3 linked regions of the Mus musculus genome follow. The protein of the gene in region 1 interacts with the protein of each later gene in a pairwise test. Links are inferred from orthologs where the notes say so. Each region holds a gene or a part of one and is shown in the gene's direction. Other genes may lie near its edges.

Evidence for each region.
Region 2: the proteins of Exoc1 (region 1) and Sybu interact in a two-hybrid assay, tested with the Homo sapiens proteins (2 studies listed by BioGRID and IntAct). The link is inferred for Mus musculus from reciprocal best matches to the Homo sapiens genes EXOC1 and SYBU.
Region 3: the proteins of Exoc1 (region 1) and Cep295 interact in a two-hybrid assay, tested with the Homo sapiens proteins (2 studies listed by BioGRID and IntAct). The link is inferred for Mus musculus from reciprocal best matches to the Homo sapiens genes EXOC1 and CEP295.

Annotation. Positions count from the first base shown.
Region 1 is NC_000071.6:76,542,806-76,546,459, forward strand, and holds part of Exoc1 (exocyst complex component 1), read left to right. Parts: intron 1-649; coding exon 650-877; intron 878-1,072; coding exon 1,073-1,205; intron 1,206-2,448; coding exon 2,449-2,558; intron 2,559-3,272; coding exon of another isoform or gene 3,273-3,326; intron 3,327-3,654.
Region 2 is NC_000081.6:44,717,623-44,721,276, reverse strand, and holds part of Sybu (syntabulin), read left to right. Parts: intron 1-2,291; coding exon 2,292-2,489; intron 2,490-3,654. UniProt on the Homo sapiens protein: Part of a kinesin motor-adapter complex that is critical for the anterograde axonal transport of active zone components and contributes to activity-dependent presynaptic assembly during neuronal development.
Region 3 is NC_000075.6:15,330,239-15,333,892, reverse strand, and holds part of Cep295 (centrosomal protein of 295 kDa), read left to right. Parts: coding exon 1-1,957; intron 1,958-2,982; coding exon 2,983-3,139; intron 3,140-3,244; coding exon 3,245-3,388; coding exon of another isoform or gene 3,389-3,397; intron 3,398-3,654. UniProt on the Homo sapiens protein: Centriole-enriched microtubule-binding protein involved in centriole biogenesis.

The DNA of each region.
Region 1 (3,654 bases):
ATTATGCAATGGTGGAATAAAAAAGTAGATGACCAGATACCACTAGGGTTTAATCCCCTAGGCTCTGAATAGGTCGTTGCCAAAGAGTAAGCATTTACTAACACAAGAGAAAGGTAGCTGACATAAATGTGGGGAGCAGGGTAGTGTGGGGAGGGGAGAGGAGCTAGAGTCAGTTACCGAAGGGGAGCAGGGTAGTGTGTGGAGGGAGAGGAGCTAGAGTCAGTTACCAAAGGGGAGCAGGACAAGTGTGTGGAGAGGGGAGGAGCTAGAGTCAGTTACAAAGGGGAGCAGGACAAGTGTGGGGAGGGGAGAGGAGCTAGAGTCAGTTACCAAAGGGGAGCAGGGTAGTGTGGGGAGGGGAGAGGAGCTAGAGTCAGTTACCAGAGGGGAGCAGGACAAGTGTGGAGAGGGAGGGGAAGGAGCTAGCGCTTCCAGAGGTGTTAGAACAGAGCCTATGATATCGCTGCACAGTTTCTGAAGTGTGGTCTCAAACCTCAGTATAGAGGCAAGCAAGCCTTTCAAAATCCTGTGGAGAAAGTGAACCAGACACTGGCTGACTTGACGCAGAGAGCTCTGGCAGCGTCTCACCTCTGCACTTCCTGTACACGTCTAAACAGCAGGAACCTTTACATTTCCTTTCACTTTGTAGGCCAACATTCAGTCAATCATGGCCTCTGAGAAACAAGTGAACACCCTGATGCAGTTGCTGGATGAGGCGCTAACGGAGGTGGACCAGATTGAACTGAAACTGAGCAGTTACGAGGAGATGCTCCAAAGTGTGAAAGAGCAGATGGATCAGATCTCTGAGAGCAACCACCTGATCCATCTCAGCAACACGAATAATGTGAAGCTCCTGTCCGAGATAGAGTTCCTCGTGGTGAGCATTTCCATAGGCTACCAGCAGGGCAAAAGCAGGAAGCCTAGTGATGTTATGTAAAACTCACTTACAAACCAGCTTCCTTGTGAGATCAGGATGTAAAGTGGTACAGAGACTGAGTGATAGGTGAGTAGTGCCCTGCCTGTATTTTCCCCACAATTGCACGTGCAAGTGGTGTGTTTGGATGTGTTCCAGAACCACATGGACTTGGCCAAAGGTCATATAAAGGCCCTTCAGGAAGGAGATCTTGTTTCTTCCCGAGGCATCGAGGCCTGCACCAACGCTGCTGACGCCCTGCTGCAGTGCATGAACGTTGCTCTTCGCCCAGGTGTGTAGCCGTGATACAATCTGACCAAGAACCGAGACTAACACTGGGACTTGGTAGAAATATTTTGACAAGAAGTAACTTGGGCTAAGTGACTATTAGCTATACAAATGAGTTTCACAGATTCCCCTACAAATTCCTATTAACACTAAACGTTTTCATTTCAGTCCCTTCTGATGGACCATCTTTACCTTCACAAATGTATTTTTATGCTCTATCTAGTTTTTATTTGTTTAGTTGGGGGTTAGCTTCTCACAGCATAGCCTAGGCTGGCATCACACATACAGTCCCCCCTGCTTCTCTAGTGCCGAGTGTACAGGCACGCACTACCATGCAGCACTCTAACCATGATCTTGTGTAAACATATAGCTTTCTTATTGTATGTGTGTGCACATATGTGTGCATGTGGACACTGTGTACAACAGCATCCGTGCTGAGGTCAGAGGACATGTTTCTTATTGTATGTGTGTGCACATATGTGTGCATGTGGACACTGTGTGCAACAGCGTCCGTGCTGAGGTCAGAGGACATGTTTGTAGATTCCGTTCTTCTGCACCTTTAGGGTTCTTGGGGTTGAGCTCAGATTCCCAGGTGTGTGTGCGAGCACCTTCACCCCGGAGCCATCTCGCTGCCCTGCTACAATCGCGCGTTGCTGCTGCTTTAGACGTAGCAGACAAGCACAGGTAGACGTTAGGACAGGCCGGAGCAGATAGGGGTTCCTAGGCAGCGGAACCTAGAAATACCAGGAAATCCTCACACTCGGTAGGTCTAGGCTGAGGTCCTAAAATTCCTATTTCTAGTGGTTGCCAGGTGATACTGAAGACGAACCAGGGTGTTGTATTACTTTTTCTCCTTTTAAAGTTTTACAAAGCACATGAATAAGCCATTATAGCTTTCGATTCTTCAAAAGTTGTCTGGGTATCATTAACACAGTACAGATTTGAGCTACAGCTCAGTGGGAGACTGTATGTCTACCATGCACAAGGCTCTGGGTGTGCCAGGACCTGGGGTTGGTGAGCATAGTAATCACGGAGGGGAGGCCAGCAAGGTGGTCCTCAAGAGGGGCTTGCTGGACAGCTTGGCCATCTGAGCTGGAGTTCTGGGACCCACGTAAAGGTGAAGGCTGAGGAAGGCCTCCACAGACTTGTCCTCTGACCGCCACACGCACGTTGTGGAGAGGTGTTTCTCGTTCTTCTTTACCCTTCCCGAGCGAGCGAGAGAGTGAGGGACTGTGGTTGTGCCGTAGGCCATGACATGCTCCTGGCCGTCAAGCAGCAGCAGCAGCGCTTCAGTGACCTGAGGGAACATTTCGCCCGGAGACTGGCCAGCCATCTCAACAATGTTTTTGTTCAACAGGTAATTTTAATCTACTATTAAAACTGACATGTTTCTGCAGGTCATTTATATGTTGCCCTAAACTTAAATTCCCCCAAATATTTACTGTGTTCATTTGGGGCTATAGTGTATTCCTTCCCACGTTTCTATGGTTTGAAGATTTTGAAATCTGTGCATAGTTCCTCACAGACGTACCTTGGACTGCAGGTAACCCTTTACACAGACGTCAAGTCCCTTCTAGCTGAAACGGATGCTAGGAATCACAGCTAGATTCATTAGTTACATAAGCAACTGGCAGGCGTGTGTTAACTTTTGAGCCTTTGTGTTTTTCAGTGTTCCAAGGTGAGAATCAGGCCTGACTCGTTATCTTCAAAGTTTCACAGGCTCTGTATAGTTAATACAGTGTGTTCATGCAAAGAAACCGCGAGTTCAGCTGTGACTTTTAGTTGATTGGGTCTCCATGTTATAAACTTGCCTCTCTTTCTTTGGAAAGAGATGTTATAATTAATGATAAGGTAGGGATATTTTAGTAATGCCAAGGGACCTTACAATTTGAACAAAAGATATTTTAATAGTTAATATAATTAGATTCTTGTGGGGGTTTTTTGCATTTTATTTTATTACACATATTGAACAGGAAAAATCTTAATAATCGATAAATTCTCTCTGAAAACATTGGATTTTCTTTAAAGTGTTCTGAAACAGTTGTCTTTCTTATATTTTATTTCCAACTAGTTTACTCAGGCCCTCCTACAGCTCTATAACAGGTCCTACTTTCTTTCGGTTCCTGTGAGTACATCAAATTGGCTCAAGCCTCTGTGATTTTTTTTTCATCTGTCTATAAAGTTTGCTAAAGTTAGCAGCAGAATATTTATGCTTACAGCTTAACTTACTGATTTAAGCTACCCATTAACTATATTTGTAATAGTTTTTAAATATCCCATTTGTCCCAAAAGGCATTTAACCTCATTCTGCTTGCCTTTCTCCTTGTTTCTCACCTCCTTGATTTTTTTAGTAATTACTTGTCAGTGGTTGAGGTGCATTGTGAACACTGCTTTGGGATAAATGCTACTGATCCTGTCGGTGAGAAGCCCAAAGGCTAGGGCAGGGAGACAGA
Region 2 (3,654 bases), on another chromosome or scaffold:
GGGAAAAGTTTCTCTTAGGCAGTATACAGATATATGTATTAATTGCTGGAATCTGACCCAGTAAGCAAATTTGCACCCTGAGAGAGGAGCTCTGATTTTTATTTTCACTGAAACAAGGGCATGCAAATGGAGGGGAAGGCACAGATAGCATGTGATGGGATAGCTGGACAGTCTCAGCCCATAGAGGGGCCCACCTCTGGGTCACAGGGCCAAAAGTTACTGGCAACTAAGGAAGGATATAGCACATTTGCAGACACAGTGTGCTAACTACCATTCACTTCTAGAAACAAATGTTCCCATGCGAAGTAATATGTCCAAAATTTAAAAAAAAAAAAAAGCAATAAATAATACATTGTCTTGACGTGCCAAGTTCATTTTGTTCCAGGAACTGGGATATTTCATCATTATAATCAAGTAGAAGCCAGAAATGGGGCAATGGTGATCCCTTTTTAGAGAAAGCCTAGGCATGACTCGTGAAGTCCTTAGATTTCATTCAACCCCATTTCCATGCCATCCTTACTCCAGCTGTGGAGACCCAGGATAGCCAGTGGTGGATGGCACATCACTCGTGGTACTCTAACACTCATAAAAACTCAATAGTTCTAAGATTATTAGTGGTATGTATCATCTTACAAACTTTCATTACGTTGGTAAAGTAATGAAATTTCTGAAATTGAAATCAAAATAATTTTCTTTTGTAACAAGGAGTTAAGTAATAAAAATTTAAAATTTTGCTGAGTATGTGTATGTTAAAATAACATTAATTTGGTCCTAAATTCTCATGTAATTCTCACTAGAGTTTAAATTAATGAATCTGCCATCCTAAATACTTTAATAAATAAGGAAAGCATTTGTAAGAGACAACAATGTGAGTTTTCTGGGTTTTTTTGTTTGTTTGTTTTTTTGGTGTTTTTCGAGACAGGGTTTCTCTGTATAGCCCTGGCTGTCCTGAACTCACTTTGTAGACCAGGCTGGCCTCGAACTCAGAAATCCACCTGCCTCTGCCTCCCGAGTGCTGGGATTAAAGGCATGCACCACCACCCCACATGAGTTTTCTGTTTCTTAATAGGTACCTGTACTGGTCACCCTATAATGTACCCATTAGCTTAATACAATGAATGACCTTAGTTATATTTAGCTATAATGAAACAGTATTTATTTTCCCCATTTACTACAAGTAGGAGTAGATCTGTTTGGACTATTTTTGGTTGGATATATGTGCTTATAATATAATGACTTTCTGCTTCTTTGAACTTTTAAACTCAGAGGCTCACAGGAAATTCTGCTAACCAGCTGATGAGCCATGTGATCAAAAAGCTTAAGCAATGTCAGTAATATTCAAGTCATTTTATTTTCCTAACAAAAACAGTTCTGAGAAGTACATGCTAATTACCTTGAGTTTTTCTTCTGAATTTTAAATTACTTACCCAATGCAAGCACCTGTGGTCAGCAAGGCCCGATGGCACACACTTCCCAGTGCTTGGGGGGAAGGGAAAGATGGATTTCTGTGAGTTCCAGGCCAGCCAGGGAAACTTAGTGAGACTTTGTCTCAACAACAAAAACAAAAACCAAAAACAAACAAGCAAAGCCCAAAACTAAAATCTGTGGACAAATATGAACCAAAATTATACTATATGAAATATTCAAGTAGACATATGCTTTAAGTAAGAAATGTATGTTTCAGACGTCTTTATGATGAAAAGGCTTATATGGTATGACTGGCTGGTTTTGTGTCAACTTGATACAAGCTAGTGTCATCAGAGAGGAAAAAGCCTCTGAGGAGAAAATGCTTCCATGAGATCCAGCTGTGAAGCATTTTCTCAGCGATGACCTGGGGAGAGTGCAGCCCATTGTGGGTGGCTGATAGTCCTGGGTTCTATAGGAAAGCAGGCTGAGCGAGCCTGTAAGTAGCACCCTGCCATGGCTCCTGCATCAGCTCCTACCACCAGGATCCTGTTTGAGCTCTTGTCCTGATTTCCTTTCATAATGAAAAGCAGTATGGAAGTGTAAGCCAACTAAACCCTTTTGTCCCCAACTTGCTCTTTGGCCATGGTGTTTTGTCACAGTAATAGAAACTCTAACTAAGATAGTATATCTTTAAGTATTGCCTTAAAACAGTATTTTCGTTGCCAATGTGAGTGGCCAAAGTATGGAAAAAAGCAAAAGAAGGATCCTAATAGCCATGCCCAGTTTACTTGGGTCCTACAAGTCACTCATTCATGCGCATGTGCAGACTTCATAGCTGGCTTCCCTGTGCCATGACTCAAAACTCATGGATTTCTGTCTCCTAGATGACACAGGTTGTCCCAGCAGCCAGTCGGTATCGCCTGTGAAGACTCCTTCAGACACAGGGCACAGTCCCATTGGCTTTTGCCCTGGAAGCGATGAAGACTTTACCAGGAAGAAATGCAGGATTGGAATGGTTGGTGAGGGAAGTATTCAGTCAGCTCGTCATAAAAAAGAACCCAAGGGAGGCATCATAAAGCCAGGTAAGTACCCTTACCATTCATATTTAAAAATCTATTTCTTTTATTTTTTTAGATTAATATAATTATATGAGATTATATATGTGTATTTATATAATTAAATTGTATATATTTTATGTATAATTAAGTTAGATTATTATATAATTAAATATGAGATTATAATATAATTAAATTCCCACTTCCCTTTCCTTGTCCTAAACCCTCTCATATATCTCTTTGCTCCTTTTCAAACTCATGGCCTCTTTTTATTCCATTAATTGTTTTTACATACATATATGTATCTATATACATATATCTAAATACATCTGCCTGGTCTGTATTATATTATATGTGTGTATGTTTTCAGGGATGACCATTTGGCATTAGATAATGAATTGGTGTGTTCTTCCTTTAAGGAGATATAGTGCAGTAAGAGATTTCCATCCAAAACCTGTCTATCAAGTCAGAAATGACTCATGTACACAGGACCCAGAAACCTTTTTAAAGGATGTAGCATGTAGAATATTTAATGCAATAGTTGCTAGTAATTAAGTATAGCGTGTAACCATCATAGACATGTTTTTGTGTGCGTGTGTTTGTGCCTTAGGATCTGGTTTATTAAGATGTACGAATACTGATTTAATGACTCTTGGCCAAAAGTATCACTGGAGACAAACCTTCTGATTTCATTGCTCATAGGCACTAATACCATCTAAGAAAATCTTTTGTTGATCTTTTTACTTATATTTTCTCAGTCAACTACTGTTTCAAACATTGTCATTGTGAGAATCCCTGCTGCTTTTGAATGGAGCCCAATTCTGTACAGTAACTTCCTTGTATGAGAAAAGTTGCCTACACTGTCTCTGAACTTTGGGCTGAGTAAATCTGTCCCTCTCATAAATATAAAGAGAGGAAATCCAGGAAGCAAGACCCTCAGATGACTCTTACAATTAATAAAATGCAGAGACATAGGCTGTTAAAATTCAGGAAGGTCCTGCTCTTAGGTTAAAATAAAGTCATCTGTTACCCACAGCCCTACCATACCCTTAGCCAAATCTGACCTTCAGTTCTAGATGTATGTTCTAATTTTTTTTTAAAAAGGCAACTCATTAAAACCATACTAGTTTATTAAAATAGCAAGCAATTAGTGGCTATCACTTTGGGGATCAGGAACTCTTTATTTTAGGTC
Region 3 (3,654 bases), on another chromosome or scaffold:
GACATTACTTTTATATAAAGAAAGCTGTTCAGAAGACAGTGAGGCTGGGCCAGTAGAATCACTCTCCTCCGTGGTTGTTCAGCATGCAGATGCTTCTCGTGCAGTTTCAGAAGTACCTAAGCGGCTCCAGGACGTGTATTCATCTGAGGAAGAAAATAGAGTTCTCTCCAGTCATTTGATCACCCATGGCTTTCCACAGCACAGCCTGCAAAGACAAGAACATTTTACACCACTCCAGGAAGAGACACACATTCAGAGGCTTATACTTGGTGCTAGAAAAAATAATGAGGAATTTGCTCCCAAGCAAAATGAATTAGAAAAGGGGCTCTGCTCTCAACAGACTGATGCCTTGTCTTCTCCATCCCAAGTCACCGACTGGGGAACATCCCGGGGGTCTGTATCAGTCAGAAGTGATAGGACAGACCCCTTAAGGCATTTTAAGATTCCAGCGTTTCGGGAAAGACTAGTTAGAGTTTCACAACATACATTCCCTCTCCAAGATAATTTGCAGGAACACCAAGAATGGGTAGACACAGAAAAAGAGAGCTTTCAATCTAGTCCTCTAACTCCAGAAAATCCATCTTCTCAACAGACAGGTTTTTCGTCCTTCAAAGCCTCATTAAGACTGCCATCGTGTGTGTCCTTGCCATCTGCTGACTCTGGTATCACACAGCACCCTCTCTCAACAGAGAGTGACAGTAAAGTCAAGTCAAGCCATCTTCAGATACCAGAACTGCAGCATAGACTTTCGAAGATATCCCAGCTCATCCCGCCTCAACAAGACAGTTTGAAGGCCCTTCAAGAACAATTAGCTACACAAAGGGAAGCCATCATCCACTCTAGACAAGAAGCTCATGAAGAAACACTAAGAGAATGGAAGGAAAAAATATTCCCAGAGCAGGTTGGTCCATTTTCTCCCCTGATACCACAACATTCACTTGCTTCATTCCCTGTTTCTGATACTGAAAGAGCACAAGAACTGTGTTCAACCAACAGTGACACCATATCTTCAGGTTATCCTGAGATGCTGGAGTTGCCTGACAGGACATTGGGTTTATCACATACTGCTTTACCTCAGCAGAATAATCTGACTGCACATCCAGAACACCTTCATGCACAAACAAATTTTTTTCACTCTACTGAGAAAGCCCAAGAAGGGTTGGTGTTTCCCAGACCATGTCAATTTGAAGAGATGTCTGCTGAGCATTTTATCCAGCCTCAACATGATGACTTAAAGGCACTTCAACAGCAGTTAGATATGCAAAGGGAAGCCATTAGATCTGGCCAGGAAATGCAAGAGAAAATGCTTTTGCAAAGGTTAAATAAATTGGAGCAAAGGATATCTTCCAAACAAATTAGCTCCTCTCTATTTTCATCCCAGGTAGCACTGCCCATTGCCAATTCTGACGGGACCTTACAGTCTTTCCCAACTAAAAGTAACGAGACTGAGCTGCTTGGGTCCCAAGATGAGTATCTGAGCTTTTCACAGCCTCGTCTGCCTCTGCAGAATAACATGACAGAGCAGTTGGACTTAGAAAAGGTATTTCATAAAGAACTGCTTTTACACAAACAAAAGAGCCAAAACAAAAGTGAATCTTCTGAGCATTCCCTCCCTCCTTTGTTTCTGTCCAAGGAAATAGAGCATCCATTCATTTCACTACCTTTTGCAGAAAGTAAATCTAAAAGCATTTGTGAGTTGTATTTATCTGACAAGAAGCATGCAGCTCCTAATGATGCTGTGATCCCAAGATTGCAGGACAGGCTTTTAAGCTGTTCCCAACCTGTCTTAACTCAGCAAGATAACATGAGTCTTCAGAAGCAGCTGAATCTACAAAGAGAAACTCTACACTCTAGGCAAAAAGCCCAAGAAGAATTGCTTGTGCAGAGACAGACATCCTTACAGCAGCAAATCCAAAGACACAGAGAGACTTTGAAAAATTTCTTTAATGTCAGTCAGGTATGTTCTGAATTTAAAACTTTAGCATAATAGATATTTAAACCTGATTTCATTTTAATCCTAAACCTACTTTCTCCTTAGTTATTGAGAGTAACTTAGTAATTGAGAAATTGAAACAAATATATCTACTTTATAGAGTCATTTTTAAAATACAGTAAACATTAAAGAATATGCATCTTTAGGAATTTTGTTGCAGTGGGTTCTCAGATAAAATTATAAAAAGGGCTGGTTAATAGATTTCTTATAGTGTGATAGATCCTGTTCTCTAACGACTGTTAACATTTGTATATGAATCAAAATCTGTGTCCTGTTTTTCCCTAAGTGACATAATGGTATAGTTGGTATGGTTATAATCTGATAGAAGCCAGACCTACACTTCTTACATTTGAGTTGCTGAGAAAACTGGCATCGTCACTCGGACACATATTTAGTTAGAATGGGTCTATTCTTCTTTAGGCCACTTCTTAACTTCCTTAGTGCAAACAATTCTGCAGCGCCTAGATGTTCAGGAGGTACTTGAACCTAGAAGTTAAAACCCTAGAGTGATGAAGGGAAAGTAATGGGGAAAAAAGGCAAAGGGAAGCACTCAGGTCTAACGTGTTAACAGGCGCAAAGGAATCTAGTGCTTGGTGTGGGGCTGTAACGTACAAACTTTGCACTGGGAGTTTTACTCGTTCAGTGATAAAAGTACGTCCCAGTTTTCATCTGTCAACATAAAGCAGATTGTTTATTCTGAGCTATACCTGGGGATATGGGTTCAGGTTTCCCTAAATAGCTTGTTCAACAGTGGAAACAGTTACAGGGACTTTGTAGTTACAGAGCAACAGAAAGTGATAAATATATGGTGCTTTCCAAGTACTTGGTAGAGCCCATAAAGTAGGCTATTACAGAGACACGGGGCAAAACTGCTATAGTGATGGAATTAGTCATTCAGCTGAGGTTCCGACTTAAGGGAGATTTCAATCTCATGGCTTATTCATGGGATCTCTTAACCCACATTCCCGTTTCCCTACCTATATTTTCAGGCAAGGAATCCCACAGATGAGAATGACTTGGAAATGCAGAAGAGAGAACAGCTCGGAGGGTGGTTTCCTCACACCCAAGGCCTTACCTGGGGAGACGCAGGTCAGGGGAGCGCTAATGGTGAGCAGCCACGTGCAGATGTCCATGCTGAGCACAATGGTAAGATGATCCCTGTTATCTTCTGATTATACCCTGTCCCTGCAGCTAGCTGACAGGAGAAAAGTCACAAAGTTTGATTTGCTTAACCTTTTCTTGACTTGATAGGTGAGAGTCTGGCCAAAGAACTGAGTGGTAGAGCCTCAAAGCCACCTGTCTCCAAAGTTAAATGTGTCTTGGACTTAAACCAGCATGAGCTTAGTACTATACAGGAAGTAGAGTCACCAGCAAGTGGCAGGATTTCCATGCCAGGTAAACAAGGTGATAAAAATAGATCTTACCAGTTTGTTAGCTTTTTACTTTTTCTCGGTATGCTAAAATGTGTCCAAGAGGCAGTCTTTGAGCACTTGTAGAAAGAGAAACCGGTTTACATAAAAATGACTAAAAATTGGGGGCGGAGAGACGGCTTACCAAGTAAAAAGCATTTTCCTGTTCGCAGGTCTGACCGCTGGAGTTAAGTCTCTGGATCCCGGGTAGAAATAGAGAACCAACTCCCAAAAGTTGTCCTCTGACCTCTA